Linked DNA regions of Oryzias latipes. The protein of the gene in region 1 binds, or shares a complex with, the protein of each later gene. Links are inferred from orthologs where the notes say so. Each region holds a gene or a part of one and is shown in the gene's direction. Other genes may lie near its edges.

Region 1 (4,583 bases):
AACTCCAGACTCAGGTGAGCGTTTTTCTACCCGCCAACAAGAATAAACCTCCAAAAACGACCCTGCTGGCTTCTGACGACACTATTTCAGCTGAGTTTGTAATACTAGATGAATAAATGAGGAAAAAACAAAATACGTGAAGACGAAAGGTTAAAAGTCCACATTTATTTGATTGTTGTCCATTTTTCTGTTTGTTTCTTGCCGTACTTTAATTTTAAAGCTATTGATGTTAGTAATTAATAAGCTATGATTTTTTTTTTTATTAAATTTGGTCAAAATTGAATCTTCTTTCATTTGATTGAAGGATGCTGGGCTTTTATTTTGACGGTTTTCCACCTTTCAGGGTGTTCTGAAGCACCGCTGGGCGGTTCTTTACCTGCTGCTGATTCTCTCTGAAGACCCCCGCAAACCATCCTCCAGGGTGAGCGCGCCCCCCCCCCACGACTCAAACACAATGTTTCTATCTTATTTCCTCTTCTGTCTTGTATAATTTCGCTGCGTCACGGATCGTCTCGCATCTTTACTACGCTGACCAAAGTGTCTCGTTTCAGGTTGGAAACTACGGGGGCCTGTTTGCCCAGGCCCTCCCCAGGGACGCCCACTCCACCCCGTTTTACTGCACTCGGCCCCAGAGCCTGTCGCTGGGTCACGGGGAACGGACCGCCGCCCTGGTGGGGAGCGTCGGGACCAGCGGGATTTCCAGCTTGGGGGTGTACACGCTGAACGGCCCCACGCCACAGTCGCTGCTGGGGGGGTAAGCTCTCTGGTCCGTTCACACAGAGGGGGCAGAAAGGAGGCGCACAAAGCGGTAGAAAATAACATTGTACTTTGCAAGGACGACTCTCACTTTTCCGCTGCTTTTTTTGTGATTTCTATTGTTTTAAGTTGTGAAGCACTTTGTGAATCTGAGAAAAGGGCTATATAAATAAAGATTTACTTACTTACTGCGTGGCGTGGCCGTGGCTTTTAGGAGAACAAACTCGTTAGTCTGTGGTCTAATAAAACCCACAGCGATGAAGCTAGCAGCAGCAGATGAACCGACCCGTAAAAAGGCTGTTTTAGCCGCCATTTAAGGCTGTTTCTGAGTTTTTATAGCTACATATGCACAAAGTGCAGAAAGCTGGTTGATTTGCACTAATGCAGTTTTTCATGTCAGTTTTCTGGATGCAAACTGAATAAAACCAGAATAAGAAGTTAGTTTACAGTTGAAACCATCAATTTGATAACATCCGTGACAAACATGAACCAGACTTTTCTGGTTCCAGAAAGATGAGTGAAGATGAAATGAAGTAAATAAAACAGGAGAAGAAGAAGTTAAAAAAGAAGGAAATCAAATAAATTAGTAGTACTGTAGTTTTATTGAAGTTTTTCCAGTTTTGGTCTTTTTTTTTTTTCTTTTTGCAAAAAAGCTGCGGTTTTAGAAGCTCTTTTAGTCCAAGAGTTTCTTTTCTCGCATTTTTTCAGGTTTAGGTTAAGAAATATTTTAATTTGGATTTTTTTTTCTGTTAAACTTTTTCTGAAACTCTAAAAGAGCCTTTTTTATTATTTTTATTTGTTCTTTTTCCTGCTCTTTCAGGTTTCATCCGAGGATATTTTTCTGTCTGACAGCCCCGTTCAGTGACTTTGAATAAAGAAATGCTACATTTGGATGTCGTTTTCATCGGGTTGTCTTATTGTGTTGTGTGTCTGCAGCGCACTTCCTTCAAGTGATGTGTTGGTTTTTTTGTTTCTATGTTTCAGTCAGGTGCCTCCGTCTGCCGCTGGAGCTGCTCCAACTCTGGGCTCACGGTTAGCCTGGGCTCTTCCCATAAGCTCCTCCCCTTCTGCATTGGCCCCGCCCAGCGCCCGACTTCCCCTCGGACCTCCGGTGCCGACGGCCAGAGTGATCCGTCCTCGCCAAGACGCCGATCTGACTGGTGAGCGATGCGGACACGCTCCGCAGTGTAAATCGGATTCATGAAGCCACGATTTTCAGATTTAATCATTTATTAGGGACTTTAATGAAAAAATAATACATTTCCCACAAAATGTTTAACTATTTTAATAAAAAAAACTCTAAGAAAAATAATTTCTGCTACAGAAATATTAGAAACAATCAATAAAAATTGATTCATGGGCTTTAAATTGTAAAAAAAAATAATAATAAATTTCATGGAGGTCAGAGAATGCAAATATTGAAAAACATTCTAGTAAAATGTGTTAATAAAATCTTTTATTGTATTTATAAATAGATACAGAAATGTTTACATTAAAGCCACTTATTTACAGAAATAAATAATGCAGTGTAGAAACATGTAACTTTCTAAATTAGGAAACATAAGCTCAAATGAATAAAATGAAGACATTTTCTGCTAAATATATTTTAAAGCAAACAAACTGTTAAAAATGTCCTTTGTTTCATTTAAACTTGTGTTTATTTTTTATGTTCTCTAATACAAATCATGATTTTTATCCTGTTTCTATCGTTAATCCATCAAATGTGAACTTTTAGAATAAATCTATAAATAAAATAAAAGCTCATCCTCTTCTTTAGACGTCCAGCTTTCACAATAAAAGCACAACAACCCAACACTTCCTGTTTTAATGAACAGAAAGGATAATTTTCCAGGTAAAATTAATAAAAGTCAGAGGATTTTTCTTCTTCTTCTTTAAAATTCATCACTTGCAGCTTTTCAAGGAAACCTAAAAAAAAAAATGTTTGGAAAAAGTTTAATTTGAATATTTATTAAGCTTTACAAAGTAAACCCCATTTCTAAGGTGGGTTTTTTTGGAGATGATGATTGAGTGACCTGTCCACCAGGTGAGGTCCACGAGGCTGCGCTGGTGCGGGACATCCTGTACGTCTTCCAGGGAATCGACGGGAAGTTCATCAAGATGAACGTCCAGGAGAACTGCTACAAAATCGACAGCAAGGTACTGACGGCCGCAGCCAGCAGAGGGGTGGGGGCTGCACTTTACCGGATCGATGTGAAGCTCTCTGGATAAAAGATGCCGTTTTTTGCCTTTGTGGTTTCATCAATGAGGAGTATTTTCTCCTAAACATAGACTCAGTGCTCCACCAGACCAAGATAAACGAGGCAGGAATAGAGATAATGGGATGTTTTTAGTTGTTTTTTTTAGTCTTCACACAAAAGCTGTCCTTCAGGACATGAAAATTTAATGCACCTTTTCCTTCAGAAGGTAAAAAAAAAAAACAATCGTCATCTTGATGACACTTCAGAGACGGAGCTTTGCACTCTTGAGCAAACCAAACGCAACCTTTAGTGCCTTATTTGATCTATCACTCAAAATGTAAAACTTTTATAGTGTGTGATATAAGCCCTGTAACAAACCATTAATAGTAAAAGGAATGCTAGAAAATGAAAATACTACCAATTACTGTTTTTGACAGTAATCAAAGGTGGTTAATATATCCAAAACAATATTCAAAACAGATTAATCCCAATAAAAAATCGTTCTTTTTTTCTTTCCTTTTCTGTAAACAACTTTTATTTTATGAGCGTACGATTCATTTGGACACTTCTCTAAGCCCATACAGTCGATTCAGAGGCTAGGAGGATGAGGCATCCCCAAAACGGGGCGGGGTCAAACGGGATCTGAGCAAAAAAAGTCCTTCCTTCTGCTCAGATCAAGCTTGATTCCTGGATTTTAAAAGCTCCTAAAAGCTTGTGAGTCGTTGGTCTCAGAAAATCCCATCACCTCGGGAAATATAAACAACTCACGCACGACATGAAAAAAAGTATCATAAATGTAATTATTGTTATTTCTGTTAGTATTGAGTCCAGCTCGTTGACGTCATAAAGTCGTTTTGAGAGTATTTGTTACGACTCTCCTCGACTCGAGCTGACGTTTCCTCACTAGGTGGTGCTATGCAAATCCCTGAGGGACACCAGCAGCAGACTGGCCGAACTGGGCTGGCTCCACAACAAAGTGCGGAAGTACACGGACGCCAGGAGCCTGGACCGGGCCTTCGGGTTGGTGGGGCAGGTGCGTGTGCTTCGGCTCCATCAGTGGTCCTTGTTCTTGGATGTATCCGCCCTTAACGCCCGTCTGCCTCTCTCCGTCTGCCTCAGAGCTTCTGTGCCGCGCTCCATCAGGAGCTGAAGGAGTACTACCGGCTCCTCTCGGTCCTCCACTCACAGGTAAACCCGCTACGGGAGGAGGAGGCGCCTCAAGTCCACCGTGTTTTTGTAAAAAATCCACACCTACGAAACCATCTTAGTCTGTTTTTCTGAAGAGAATTTTAGATATTCAACATGTTATGTGTGTGTGTGTGTGGTGGTGGTGGTGGTGGTGGTGGGGGGGGGGGGTAAAAGACATGGACCCTTGATGCAAACGCAGTGGGTTCAACTCTGTGGTCGTAGCCATCTTTGAAACGCCTTTAAAAATTGGATAAATAGTGGGAAAGGTGACAGTCATACGAGGCCACGCCCCCTTTTTGGTCTGATCTTTTCATAAAAGGTACCTTCAAAAACGTCAGGTACAGTCGTCATAAATGTTATACCAAACGACAGAGAGGGCAAGTTTCATTGAAATTCGATTGTAAACAACCCCCAGTGGTCACTTTGGGGAACTGCGGCCGC
Region 2 (3,431 bases), on another chromosome or scaffold:
TACTAAGTCCCATATCATAACACTTCCCCCACAGACAGTACTGCAAATACAACTGCCACCGCGTGATGAAGATGCATTGGCAGAATCTTCAAGATTTTTTGGGCGTGGTCATAAGTGTAGACTGCGGCCATCAGGCGGGGATGATGCTAGTACGAAATTGGGCGACCACAGGGCGGTGGCAGACGGATCGCAGAGCTCTGATTAAACGATGTGTAAATGTCTCCGGATGGCGGATGTCCATATCAAGGGCCACCGGGGGGGGCAGGCCATTCTGGACTACTGGTCATTTGCAACTCGGATTTCGAGCACACATTATGTAATCTTGTCAATTTATAAATCTACAACAACATGCCTCCCAAGAAACCCAAACAAAAGGTCCAAGCAGTCCGACAACAGGAGTCTTCATCAGATGAAGAGCATCAATGCAGCTTCAATGGCGTCTCCCCATTTATATGCAGGGCCCACGGTGACAGGGAATCGCCAGATTGGTCATCGCCGGGCCCCTGACCCAGGTCAGCAGCCCATTTCAGGTGCCCGCGCTGGTACTGCACAATGTCTAACAATGGGATGGTGGCTGGAGGGCGACGATCTGAAATCGGCTGATCATCTTGAAGACCCTTCAATTATCTAATTATCGTACGGCTGCCTTCCTGCTGTTAATCAAATGTTCCCGGGCAGCCACTGACTGATGTCAAAAAAATTTTGTACTTTTCTTAAAACCTCTGCAGCGTGTAAAAATGCGACTGCCGGGTCCTGCTTACAAATGTCGCCGTGCGGCCACCTGACCGATTTCCTAAAAAAACGCACATTTGGGTCGCCGTGCGGTGGCGTTTAGAGATATGTGACTCAGTGGACCGAGTGTGACGTCACCCATAGAAAATGGCGTTCTCTCAGCTCCAACCAAATGAGGTCAATTCAGTCGCCACTTTATGACGAAATGGACGTCGCCATGTTGGACCCATCAGTGCTGTCTGTTGGGCAAACATTTTGAACGTTTAGGGTGGGGGGCATCCGGCACCACATACTGCGGCATCTGATTGGTTCGTTTCTGGGGTTTAACTGACTTAAATATGAAGAACAAACGTCACACACCTAGGTGCGTGAAAGCTAATGGAAAAGACTTTCCTCAGTAACATTCAAAAATAATGTAGCTAAAAATCCACCTTTTGAACTTCCCTGAAACGTTTAAAATATCTTCGATGTTCTAAATTCAGTGAATTTTAGTTAACTTGCAGGTTAAGCTCTTAGTGATTGATTGTCTTGGTGGGTTAACTGAAGCCAAAGCAGAGCTCAGTTGGTCCACACTTCCTGTTCTTTCAGACGGAGTCTCTTGAGCTTCACTTCCACAATCTTTTGAACGTGTTTGTTTTGAAGGAGCATTTTTGTTTGGGAAGACAATGGATGCCTTTAAAGACAAGGCCGGTGCTGGGCTGCCCTTGAATCTTTTTCCTGCATCCTGTGCACTCTGGTGTACGTCAGCGCAGTAACCGTTTCTCTGCCACCAGACTCAGCCTGCAGTAACCGAACATCTACGACAGCTTCATCTGCACGACTCGTGCGTTACCACACTCTTTGACCAACGGTCTTCTTGCTGAATTGAATTCTCTCCAGCTGATGAAGAACCCTGTGGGAGGGTTACATTTCCTGGAGACTCTCAGCCCAGCTTTGACCTTGGGAGTGTCTGATCTTGAAAGGAAGCCCTTTTTTCGAGATAAATACTTTTTCCCAGAAAGAAGTCCCTGCTGTTTCTGAGCAAAAACCTGTTATTTTCAGGGCTTTTATATGTCTGAGGTGGTTTGGAACCACAGGAAAAGAACTGAGAACAGTTTAGGTAATCAGATTGTTTCCACTTCGAATGAGAGGTGAGCTTTTTTCCACACTTCTAAAGGATCACATGTTGCTTTGCTGAGTAATCGGTGATTTAGTAACACCCTTGAGAACAGGATGTGCTGTGTCAAAATCTCTGTGAATTCAGACCGCATGTGTGCCGCTCCAGTTCCCCTTTGTTCCTGATAACTTAAGTTTCAGTTGAATTCCACAATGGAGATGTTTTCCTTCAACAGGAAATCGCACGGCATCTTCGGCCCAACACGCTGCGCGCCCTGTACGGCAAAGACAAAGTACGGAACGCTGTCCACTGCACAGACCTCCCTGAAGACGGGGTTTTGGAGGTGGGTAGCACCCATCCACATTGTTCCTTGCACTTTGTCCTTTGGTTCATGCATAGGCGACCACCTTTCCTTTAGCAAAAACAGAACAGCCATGAGCCCCGACGTTCTTTGTGTTTGCAAACGTCTCGTGACCTCGCTCCGTGGGCTGGGGCAGCCTCAGATCACGCTGGCTTTGAGGAGAACAAGAAGGGCCGGGGAATTTCAAACAAAAGCATTGTTTTTGCAGAGTGTGGGCCTGAACCGTCCGACGTCATTGTTCAGGAAAACTCCTGATCTGTCGCCTGGACAAATGCCTCCTTGTTAAACATTAGCTGGCGACTGACTGAGCTGCCATTTTCCCAAGACATATTGACCAAGCAAGAGCTGGTGCAGAGTTTCCAGTGACATCAAACAATGAGGCGTCACACAGATCTCCTGACAGTGTTCACTCTCTTTTTCAGGTGCAGTACTTCTTCAAGATCTTGGACACATGAAATATTTGTTTTATTTGATACCAAAAAAAAAAAATTGAGTTTTTCTCTCCATTTTTCTGTTTATTGTTTCAGCCTTATGCAGATTAAATAAAGTGACAGAATGAACTCCTGACAGGTTTTGTGATCTTAAACATTGAATTAAGTATTTTCACACCAACTAAGCATGTTATTACACGGGATACTGCGATGCCTCTGATATTCTCTAAGTTCTAAACCAGCAACTTTGGTATTGGATTCAAACATCACACTTTGGAAAAAAAAATGTACAACTGCATAAATATAAAATGATTCCATCGTGAAAAATGGCTAAAACATTTAATAGAAAGTTGCATCACACTCTTGTGATGTCTCCAGCAAAACAGATTTCAAAGCACTGAGTTGCCATGGTTTCCATAGAGGTGACAGCCTTTGCGGATGAAGCCGCAATGCTCTACTCTACGGATTAAAACTTGAACAAACGTTAAGAATCAAACAGAAATGTCAAATCATGTCTGACAGATAAAAAGAGACACATGTGTACAAATGCAGAACATGCAACAAAACAAAAAACCGAAGGGTTTAACGGAGCGCAATCAGAGTACCATGTAGTTAAAACGTACTGACAACAACCCCATGCACTCATATTTAACACACCTGCACACGGACAGCAGCGCGCACACACCTTGGACCACTAAAGCTGACATAAAACAGATTACAACAGGACTACGGCTGAGGAAACGACGTGAGGATCAATACCTTGGGTGGGGACAAAACACAACTCGCTACATCTCAGTAGTGGAATTGCAGT

What was found.
Region 2: tubgcp3 (region 1) and nme7 share a complex: the UniProt entries of both Homo sapiens proteins name them as parts of the gamma-tubulin ring complex. The link is inferred for Oryzias latipes from reciprocal best matches to the Homo sapiens genes TUBGCP3 and NME7.

The regions. Positions count from the first base shown.
Region 1 is NC_019860.2:22,839,854-22,844,436, reverse strand, and holds part of tubgcp3 (gamma-tubulin complex component 3), read left to right. Parts: coding exon 1-14; intron 15-343; coding exon 344-421; intron 422-551; coding exon 552-754; intron 755-1,740; coding exon 1,741-1,916; intron 1,917-2,800; coding exon 2,801-2,913; intron 2,914-3,861; coding exon 3,862-3,987; intron 3,988-4,073; coding exon 4,074-4,190; intron 4,191-4,583. UniProt on the Homo sapiens protein: Component of the gamma-tubulin ring complex (gTuRC) which mediates microtubule nucleation.
Region 2 is NC_019862.2:27,522,681-27,526,111, reverse strand, and holds the end of nme7 (nucleoside diphosphate kinase 7), read left to right. Parts: exon of another isoform or gene 1-336; intron 337-2,063; coding exon 2,064-2,171; intron 2,172-2,611; coding exon 2,612-2,644; 3' UTR 2,645-2,666; downstream 2,667-3,431. UniProt on the Homo sapiens protein: Possesses an intrinsic kinase activity. Displays 3'-5' exonuclease activity with a preference for single-stranded DNA. Does not seem to have nucleoside diphosphate kinase activity.